Oryzias latipes: one gene and its partners. The protein of the gene in region 3 purifies or fractionates together with the protein of the main gene of each other region. This does not show direct contact. Links are inferred from orthologs where the notes say so. Each region holds a gene or a part of one and is shown on either strand. Other genes may lie near its edges.

What was found.
Region 1: the proteins of pnkp (region 3) and lig3 purify together in Homo sapiens (co-immunoprecipitation; 5 studies listed by BioGRID and IntAct, with this or other methods). This does not show direct contact. The link is inferred for Oryzias latipes from reciprocal best matches to the Homo sapiens genes PNKP and LIG3.
Region 2: the proteins of pnkp (region 3) and DNA repair protein XRCC4-like purify together in Homo sapiens (co-immunoprecipitation; 5 studies listed by BioGRID and IntAct, counting the BioPlex papers as one, with this or other methods). This does not show direct contact. The link is inferred for Oryzias latipes from reciprocal best matches to the Homo sapiens genes PNKP and XRCC4.

The regions. Positions count from the first base shown.
Region 1 is NC_019872.2:27,669,553-27,673,995, forward strand, and holds the start of lig3 (DNA ligase 3), read left to right. Parts: upstream 1-1,524; 5' UTR 1,525-2,005; intron 2,006-2,709; 5' UTR 2,710-2,735; coding exon 2,736-3,285; intron 3,286-4,443. Other genes in the region: tmem248 (transmembrane protein 248), read right to left, coding at 622-624. UniProt on the Homo sapiens protein: Isoform 3 functions as a heterodimer with DNA-repair protein XRCC1 in the nucleus and can correct defective DNA strand-break repair and sister chromatid exchange following treatment with ionizing radiation and alkylating agents.
Region 2 is NC_019870.2:1,165,070-1,168,722, reverse strand, and holds part of DNA repair protein XRCC4-like, read right to left. Parts: intron 1,097-3,653; coding exon 930-1,096; intron 1-929.
Region 3 is NC_019871.2:32,547,101-32,549,459, reverse strand, and holds the end of pnkp (bifunctional polynucleotide phosphatase/kinase), read right to left. Parts: intron 2,254-2,359; coding exon 2,157-2,253; intron 2,080-2,156; coding exon 2,018-2,079; intron 1,897-2,017; coding exon 1,787-1,896; intron 1,451-1,786; coding exon 1,363-1,450; intron 1,281-1,362; coding exon 1,213-1,280; intron 980-1,212; coding exon 859-979; 3' UTR 624-858; downstream 1-623. Other genes in the region: complement C2, read left to right, coding at 45-221. UniProt on the Homo sapiens protein: Plays a key role in the repair of DNA damage, functioning as part of both the non-homologous end-joining (NHEJ) and base excision repair (BER) pathways.

The DNA of each region.
Region 1 (4,443 bases), on a different chromosome or scaffold from region 3:
AGATTTTACTTATTCTGCAAACCCAAAATAAAACCACAAACTCGCTTCAAAGGTTTTCGCTTTTAGCAGAAGTTAAACAAATAATGTACACAAACACACTGCATGATGGTTGACAGTACACATAAAAAAGCACAGTTGTGAGGTTGTGATAACATGCCGGACATGAAGGACAAGGTGACAAACACTCAAGATAAACAAAAGCAACGCGGACTCGTCCAAACAGATATTTGCAGAGAAAACCCCAAGCTTCAGGTATTTTTCCAGCCACGTTTATTTTCCACGCCTACAAGTTATTTATGATAAATACATATTGAGTTATGTTTACCTGTAAGCACGTATGGCTGGACAACAATCCCAACAAAAAAGCGACTTAAACTTAACTGTCGTTAGAACAGATTATAATTTGCGAACACAAAAACGGTTAAAGATAGAATAAATTAAAAAACAAACAGCTTTCGTTATGAAATATTGCTAAACGTAACCACCTAATATTAGCTGTCAACCTAATTTAGACGTCAAGCTAACCGCTTGACAACGACGTCTCAGAGACGTGACGTATTTCGCGTGACACTTAATTTTAATAGAAAGAGGCGGATAAATATTTAAAAAATGAAGTTTTACCATTTTTTCTCCCGTTGGAGGCAAGAAAGATGCGAGCTGGGCGGTGCGTCGCGGGCCACAACAAGCCTGCAACCTCACGAACAAGTTAGCGTCCAAGCTAGCTTGATGCTAAAATCCAAGCTAGTTGTTCTTCCTGAATACAACGCAGAAACACAAACGTCTGTGTTCGAAGGGGAAACTCAGACAGTCGACATGCGGACAGTCGCCGCGTCCCATTCTTCTCCTTTACGTTCCTTGAAGGTTAAAAGAGAAAAGTATCCACCGCTGAGTCTGGAATAGCGTCAAACAAAATATATGGGTCCTCCCTACGAGGTAAACTGCGCGTGCCCGCACTGCGTAGTGACAGCGCCGCGGTATTTACGTACGAGATGGGTCCGGAAACCCGCCGCCGCGCGCGCATCTCGTGTCATAGAACGCAATTTACGTAGCTTTCATGAGGAGGCCACTGTTTCCACGTTTATTCTGTTTTGTTTGTTGTCATGCTATTTTTTTTTAGATTTGGTATATCTAATAAATAATATAATAATTTAAATCATAATATAGTTTTTACCGACTGAAAGCTTAATTTCTTTCTTTTCTTTAACGTGAGGACACAAAAAAGTAGCCTCTTAGTAACACATCTTTTCATTGGTATTAAATCGTATGCCGTTGATACAAAACAAAATAATAAAAAAAATCCAAACCAATGCAATACAATACAATATAGAAATATTGATTTCACTTCTCTCACTCTCAACCAATCAAACTTTAACAAACTTCACATGTAATAAATTCAGAGTGCAAACATGTCTTTTTATATTTAATAGTCATTATGAAGACATAAATTTATTTCACATGTGAATTTCTTTATGGTCTTCTCGTATTTATTTTTCAATCACTTTATGACAAAATCTTGGGAAAGATCTGACATCTGTATTCAATCTTTTTTGGAGCGTTTTTTAAGTGCTGTAAATCAGCCAACAGCTAATGTAATGTCTAATGTGACAACTTCAGTATTTTCACTAACCTTTTATGGAGAAAAATTAGACTGTGAAAAACGATAGAACTGTGTAGCGACTGTGATGACGGCGTGTAGACGCACGGGGGCGGTGATGAGCGGGAACGGATGTCGAAATAAGCCCAGAAGAAGAATGTCATTGTGTGGACTGTTGCCTGCTGTCCACGCTGTTAACCCTTTTTCCTTTTGCGTAATACTCACATTTGGAAAAGTATATAAACAAACCAAACATATTTAAATGGAGTTGTCGCTTTGTCCCGCCAAACCGTAGGTTTACGAAGCACGAGCGTCTAGCCTGACGTTTGTGAAGAAGCCGCTTGTTGTTGCTAAACAATCGAGGCAGAGCCGAAACTCTTAAGAAAACAGCGCTTTAGCGCCGCTTACGAGGTAAAGTCTCAATTTGTGACATAAAATCTTTTTTTATGTTTCGTCCTTTTCTGGTAGATTTCAGTGCAGTTTTATTTTACCCGAGTGTTATTTGAAAAGTAAACAGAGCTAAAGCTAGCAGCACTTGACCGAATCGTTTGTTAGCTTTCAACCCAAAATTAATTCATTTTTTTTATTAATTATTAAGCACTATTTTCTTTTGGGATTACTAAAGAAAATTTTTAAAATATGTACCCTTGAAAAACTGAATTTGCTTATGCTTTATTTATCATTTAACCAAAAAATCAGGAAAAGTAAGAATCAAGTCATTACACTTTATTAACCTTCAATTGATTTAAAAAAACTTTCTGTAAACCGAAATGTTGGAATAATATCTTTGATGGAAATAAATAAAAGGTTTAAACGTGTTAATTTAGTAGTTTAATGAAAAACATGTTTCTTTAAATCGTCTTTTACATGATATCATCGTAATTTAATTAAGTTATTTAAGGTAATAAGTCATGATAAAGTAAAGTTTCATCTAACCAGTAAAAGGTTTTTTTTTTTTTTTGCTTATTGTTTGATAAACTCAAAAATCAAATTAACGAGTAAACGTAAAAAATTAACTTTTCAAGACATATTAGGTCAAACAAAACCGAATTGTATTTTTTGTGATTTGCTTGTGCATTTTTCTTGAATATAACCGTCGTTTTGTTGTGTTTTAGGTTGCTAACTGCACAGTCAACAATACATGCAGAGACTTCTCCTCACATCCATCCAGAAGACTGTCTGTTTCGGTGGAAAACCTTCTGGCTCCTTTGTTAGACGTCAGCAGCTCTCTACTACGTGCAGAGTCGCCTTTTCCCGTTCTGCTGACCAGCTTCCCTCCAGTTTTTCTGCAAAAAGATTTTCACAGCAAACCTGTCTGTGTCACTCCACCCCCTCCAAACCCAGCCTCCCTCGTTTCTCCGCTTCCTGGCTGTTCCTGCGACGGCGTTTCTCTACTCGACCGGAAATGGCGGATCAGAGGTTCCTCGTGGAGTACGCCAAACGGGGCACGGCGGGCTGCAAGAAGTGCAAGGACAAAATCCAGAAGGGCATCGTGAGGATCGGCAAAATCGTGCCGAACCCCTTTAGCGAGTCTGCCGGGGAGATGAAGGAGTGGTATCACGTGAAGTGCATCTTTGAGAAGCTGGAGAGGGCGAGGGCCACCACCAAGAAGATCGAAGACATCACCGATCTGGAGGGCTGGGAGGAACTGCAGGATGAAGACAAGGAGCTCATTAACAAACACGTCTCAGGTATTCAAAATGACTTTCCAATGAAGAATCTGAATCTCATCAGGACTTCTAACGCTCGCCGGGAGCAGGCGGCTGGTTTAACAAGTCTGATTTACTCGACCGACCAGTAGAAATAACCTTAAGAAACAATGACTGCATGTTTGCTGTTGGCTTTATGTGAGATGGGATGCCGGTACTTTTGGTTTCTTTTGTGGCGTAAGAAAACTTGAGTGTGGCAGAAAAAGCGAGCTGGGATACAGACGGCAGGAAGGCTCGGCGGAAATGGAAAGTTTGTACAAACAAAATAATAGTTGAATATCGTCCAGAAAAAGTAAATGTAGCTGCGTGTCAACTTAAAGTAGCAGAAAGTGCAGTTCAGATTTGAAAAAAGAGAAAACTTTTGAGAGAAAAATAGCTTATTTGTGATACGCTGGGTGATCACAAACTCTCTGCTTCGAGCTCTGAGCAATGGGAGTCCATAACATAACTCTGATGAACTCCTGCCGCTCTGCAGAAACTATGTCCTGGAAAACAACACAGGTTTTGGATTTTGGCAAAAAAAAAAAAATCCTAACTGAAAGGCCGCCTGGAAGGCTTTGAAAGCTCATCAGATGATGATCGGAGCGGGTTTCAGGATGGCTTCTGTCCTGAACTGCTAACCAACATAAGGGCTTGAGAACAGGAGGGATGTTCTTCTGGTTCTGATCCAAACCCTGGCAGCAGCATCCTGCTTATTGAGGAAGACTGTTGCTGTAGTCCAGCCGGCAGGAACCAGCCTCTGGTTTGGCTGAAACTGGGTTCTGAGTCGGTTGTTCTGACACCAAGAACTGTTTTTCCCCCCCAGAGTGAGGCTCTTCTGTTCCTTTCAGTCGTTCCGTCTCGTTTCCAAAAACAATAACTGCTGTGTGTCGGCGCTGAAGGAAACCAGAACCGTAGCTCCTCTGAGCTGCAGACGGTGTGAAGGCCCACAGCGACCGGGAGTCGGCTACCGTCTGACACGTTCTTCATGGGGTTTCTACCATTTCACTTTTCCTTAGGATAAAAAAAAGTAGAAATAGAATAAAACGAATGCAGTGATGTCTTCACAATAGTTAGCAGATAAGGTAAGGAGTGTGTTTTGGACACGGGAGGACAGACCCGTCATACAAGTCTCTCATATCTCAAACTATTAGAAGCAGG
Region 2 (3,653 bases), on a different chromosome or scaffold from region 3:
GTTCCTGTATGTGATGTCATCAGTAATGTCATCAGTGATGTCATCAGAAAGTTCACACGGAGGTCAGACTGACGCGGTTCTGGATTCATTCTGGAATCTTTGATGTTTTCACCCCCATCATGCACAGCACATTCACCTTGTGTGAAGGTGAGTGCACGTGTGCGTCCATGTATGTGTGTGTGAGCATGCATGTTTTGTAAGTGTGTGCATGGATGCACATGCACATGTGTCCATGTTCATATATGTGTTGTTCACATGCAGATGTGTATGTTTTCGATGTGTCCAATACAAACAATGTGCAAGTATTTGTGTGTATGTGTTTATGAATGCTTTGTAAATGTGTGTGTGTGCATGCATTTGCACATGCATGTGATCATCCATATGTGAAAGTATGTGCGCACATGTGCAACACATGTATGTATGCATGTGTGAGTTTTTACATGTTAGCACATAATTATGCATGAATGCATGTGTGCATCCCATGTGGGAGTGCATCCATCTGTGTGTTTTTATCTGTGTGAGTGTAGGCATTCATTTGTGTGTGTGCACGTGTACCTGTGCCTGTGTGTGTACCTGTGCATGTGTGTGTACCTGTGAATGTGTGTGTACCTGTGAATGTGTGTTTACATAAAGATAAAGTGGAGATGAAGGGATGGCTGTCGATAAACCCATTTGATGTCTGTCTGTTTTTCTCCAGAGTTGTCATGCAAACCAATTGTTTTTCACTGATGGTTCTTGTTCTGATTGATTGTTCTGGTTTTTTATTGTCACCCATTGGTTGTGTGTTTGTATCTTTGAGCCTAACGTTGACGCTGCAAAAACCCCATTTCCCAAGCTGAGACCAATAATGCATCTTCATCTTATCTATCACTACCTGTGCATGTGTGCATATGCCTGTGTGTGCATGTGTGTGTGTTGTGCTTGTTTACTCTGCACAGATGCGTTGCTGCTCCTGCTTCAGCCGCTGGTTGTCCTCCTGCAGCTTCTGGTTCTGGTTCTGGAGGCTGTCTCCTCGCTGCAGGCTGTGGAGCAGCAGCTGCCTCAGCGCCTCCGCTGGCCGGAGCTCCGCCTCCAGGAGAGCTGAGCCTAGTCTGAACTGGAACAAATAAAAGCAGTTTGTGGATGTGGGCCTGCAGAACCGCAGATCCTTTAATCTTCTGCTTTCAGGTCTGCAGCCAGAAGACTCCTGGTGGATCTCTGACAGTCCAGACTCAGCTGTTTCCAGTTAAATGTGGTGAAAGCTGCTGTCTCTGTAAGACATTACTCACTAAAAATAAAATCAGCTCTTCTATTTGAAACTTGAAATCTAAACTTGGAGAAGTTGACAAAAACAGACCAGGATCGTTGTGGTCCAATGTCCGTCATTTATCAAAATGTGTGGTTTTTCCGTTGCTTTAAGGTTCAGTTGATGGTTCCGACTCAGGATTTGGTATGAATCTTTTTCCAGCATTTTAAGATTCCTGTTTTTGGGTTCAATCTGATCGATCTCAGCAGGTTTTCACGGTTAAGACAGAACTCTAACGGTGTGATGAAGAAGGAAAGGGGTTACAGAAAGAGAAAGAGGGGGGGGGGGGGTTACAAGTCTGAGGTGCTCCAGCTCTCCCTTTAGTCTGGAGTCCCCCAGGGCTCCGTTCAAGGGCCCCCCTCCTTGCAACATTCTTTTTTTTCAGTTTGATGATTTAGAAGCGTCTCAGCTTTTTAGCTCTCCTGACGGGTGGATCCTAAAATCCTAATCTATCCCTGAAAGTTCTATTTTAGTTTAGCTTAAATCTTTTATGTCACGGCCTGTTTTCGCGGTTAAAAAAAATGAGTTTAAACAAATAAGCCTTCATTTCTTTGAATCATGTTAAACCGGAAATCCAGCTGATTCAGTCCTTTTGGAGTCGGACCTCAAACCCTGTGACGGTGGTTCTGTCAGAACCGTTGGGGGTCCTCGGATCGGGACCACCTCAACCCAGAACAGAAGTTCTCTGTTTGGTTTTGTTTCTGCTCTTTTTGTTTTACAGCTGCCGCTAAACCAGTGCTTCCCAACCCTGGTGCTCGGGGAACAATGTCCTCCATGTTTTCCATGATGCCCTGCACACCTGACACACCCACCTGACACCCACCTGACACCCACCTGACACACACATGACACACACCTGACACACACCTGACACACACCTGACACCCACCTGACACACACATGACACACACCTGACACACACCTGACACACACCTGACACACACCTGACACACACATGACACACACCTGACAGCCACCTGACACCCACCTGACACCCACCTGACACCCACCTGACGCACACATGACGCACACATGACGCACACCTGACACACACACCTGACACCCACCTGACACACACCTGACACACACATGACACACACATGACACACACCTGACACACACCTGAGACACACCTGACACACACATGACACACACCTGACAGCCACCTGACACCCACCTGACACCCACCTGACACACACCTGACACACACCTGACACCCACCTGACACACACCTGACACCCCCCTGACACACACCTGACACCCACCTGACACACACCTGACACACACACATGACACACACCTGACACACACCTGACACACACACATGACACATACCTGACACACACCTGACACACACCTGACACACACCTGACACACACATGACACACATATGACACCCACCTGTCACCCACCTGACACCCACCTGACACACACCTGACACACACACATGACACACACCTGACACACACCTGACACACACCTGACACACACCTGACACACACATGACACACACCTGACACACACCTGTCACCCACCTGACACCCACCTGTCACCCACCTGACACACACATGACACACACATGACACACACATGACACCCACCTGTCACCCACCTGACACACACATGACACCCACCTGACACACACATGACACACACCTGACACCCCCCTGACACCCACCTGACACACACATGACACATACCTGACACCCCCCTGACACCCCCCTGACACACACCTGACACACACCTGACACACACACATGACACACACCTGACACACACCTGACACACACCTGACACGCACCTGACACGCACATGACACCCACCTGACACCCACCTGACACGCACATGACACCCACCTGACACACACATGACACACACATGACACACACCTGACACCCACATGACACACACATGACACACACATGACACCCACCTGACACACACCTGACACCCACCTGACACCCCCCTGACACACACACATGACACCCACCTGACACACACCTGACACACACCTGACACCCCCCTGACACACACATGACACACACACATGACACACACCTGACACACACCTGACACACACCTGACACACACCTGACACGCACATGACACCCACCTGACACCCACCTGACACCCACCTGACACCCACCTGACACGCACATGACACCCACCTGACACCCACCTGACACACACATGACACACACATGACACACACCTGACACCCACATGACACACACATGACACCCACCTGACACACACCTGACACACACCGGACACACACATGACGCACACCTGACGCACACATGACACACACCTGACACACACCCGACACACACCCAGGGCTCCAGACTGCGACCATTTGCTCGCATTT
Region 3 (2,359 bases):
TGTGAACAGCCTGAATAAAACGACAGCTTCCTGCTTTTTTTCAGGTGGGATTGGTGAGCTGGGGCACCACGGACATCTGTGACCGTAACAACCGGGCCCACGGCAGCAACCGGCCCCCTCCAGACGCCCGAGACTTTCACATCGATCTCTTCAAGATAATGCCGTGGTTGAAAGAACATACAGGCAAGGAGATCAAGTTCCTGCCTGAGTTTGACCCTTGATGAGCCTGGGAAGATAAATCTGCTTCAGGATGGAACAGACACCGGAGCTTCTGCAACATCCAAGCAGAAACTCCTCTGTAAGAGATTTAAACATCGTCTTACTGGTCCAAAGCTGATTTGTCCATTTTAATTAGCAAACTAAAAACGAATAAAAATGTATTTTACTCTCTAAACTGAATGGCTTTTTCGATAGAATCAATAGAGAAAGAGTGTTGGTAAAGCTTTAAGCAGGCAGAGTGATGCCATGCTAGAATAAATCCTGACCAAAGCCCTCAAACCTCATCTAACCGCTTTGTTTCTGGGGCCAAGGCAAATATTTTCCTCTTAGCTTTTACTGACAGATGGTGATGGGGGGCCAATGTAAACGTTCAGCTCTGGAAAAAGGGCAGCAAACCACAGAAACAGGCTTAGGAAGCTTTAATGATTAGTATTTTAGCGCTGAGATGAAAACAAGAAGCAAATCCAACAGTCAGGGCAGCAGGTTTACAATCCAACTGTGTTGTACAGTCATGAGTTTAACTATAGTCGTTCAGTTAACATGCAGTAACGGCACAAAGGTTCATTGCAATATAAAGGCCATTAGCTGGAATTTACCGTCGCTTACTTAACATTTAGACATAGACCTTTATTTGGGGAGTCAGCCCTCAGAAAACTGTCGGAACAGAACCTCCGACTGTCTGTCCTTGAAATTTGGAACGAAATGGATCTGGAGAATCTCAGAGAATCCTTCGGAAAGAGCAGGAGCCACGAAGTGTTTCCTGTTTGGAGCAGAAGAGGAGACAGATCGTCAGAATGCTGGGATGAAGCAGAAATGCAGCAAGAACAAAAAACCTATGAATCTCTTTGATCCAATATAAGAGCAGAAAATACAGTGACATTTTAAAATGTGACAAATTCTAGTTTTCTTTTTCAAACTATAGTCTCCATCCAGTTGTTCTGCACCAGTGAGGCTTTTTGGGTGTTGACTAACATTTCAGAGGCCTTCACTCACTTGTAACTGTGGAAAACCATTTCATTGACCTTGGCGTGTTTGCCGTCAGACGGAGCCATCTCCCGGAACTGGAAAGGACAGAAAATCCGTGTGAAAAGCGCTCGTCACAGAGCTGAAACCAAGTCAGGCGTGGGGAGGGGGGTGTCGTACTCTGTTGTTGTGCTTGGCTTGCTCCAGAGAAGCAGAGAAGTGGAAACAGCGACACGACACTCCAGCTGCTTTGGCTACGTCCACATACCTGCACAACATGCAGACCTAAGGTCAATTCACCCGTTTAAAAAATGATTAGGATTCCTTAATGTTAAAGTAGCTAAAGTAGTAGTTAGTAGTAGTAACACTCTATAAGACAGTCCATTTTACTAAGAAAGAATCTATCAGCCTAAATCAATAGAAAGAAGCACAAACCACGAACTAAGCGGCTTAAATCAAAGCTTAAAGTAAACCAGCTGGAGACTACTCCACCCTGCCTGTGTAATTATTTCTGCATGCGTGTGTGTGTCATTGTTTTGGAACCGGTTCATATGAAAGGTGAGCTGGGAGCAAACAGGCAAACTGAAACTGATTAGAGCTTCACCGTTTGCGCGACTCCGGGTCTGGGTTGGTGTTGTCGACAGCAACGCTGCGTCCCTCGCTAAGAGCGCGCTCACACACCGCCACGCATTTCTGCCAGGAGCCAAGGGTGTCCTGAGACACCAATGAGAGGATGACGATGGTTGAGATGCAGCAGCCAGTGATGTCTGAGCGACCTAAAATACTTGCAGGAGAAACTCTCAGACGTGAAAACCTTTCTTTGTACTCCACTTACCCTGTTGACATAGAAGTAACCCTTTGGAATAACGTGGGCGTGGAAGAAGGTCGATTTACCGGCTGTAAACAAGAGGGAGTGAGAACAAAAGGCTGTTGGGAGGGGACATGGGTGAGGGCTGACGGAGAGCGGGCCTCACATGCGGGATAACCGACGGCAACGATGACTTCTGTGAGACTGGAGATGAGGGAGGCGGACGGCGGGTCATACAGCCTGGCAGCGGAGTCCAGCTTCCTCTATGAGGAGCAGACAACAGCTATTAGTAAACACAAACAGGAGGAACTTCCCTAAAAGCTGACCCTGCATCAAACAAGATGAACACTAACTATTGTACGTGTGGAA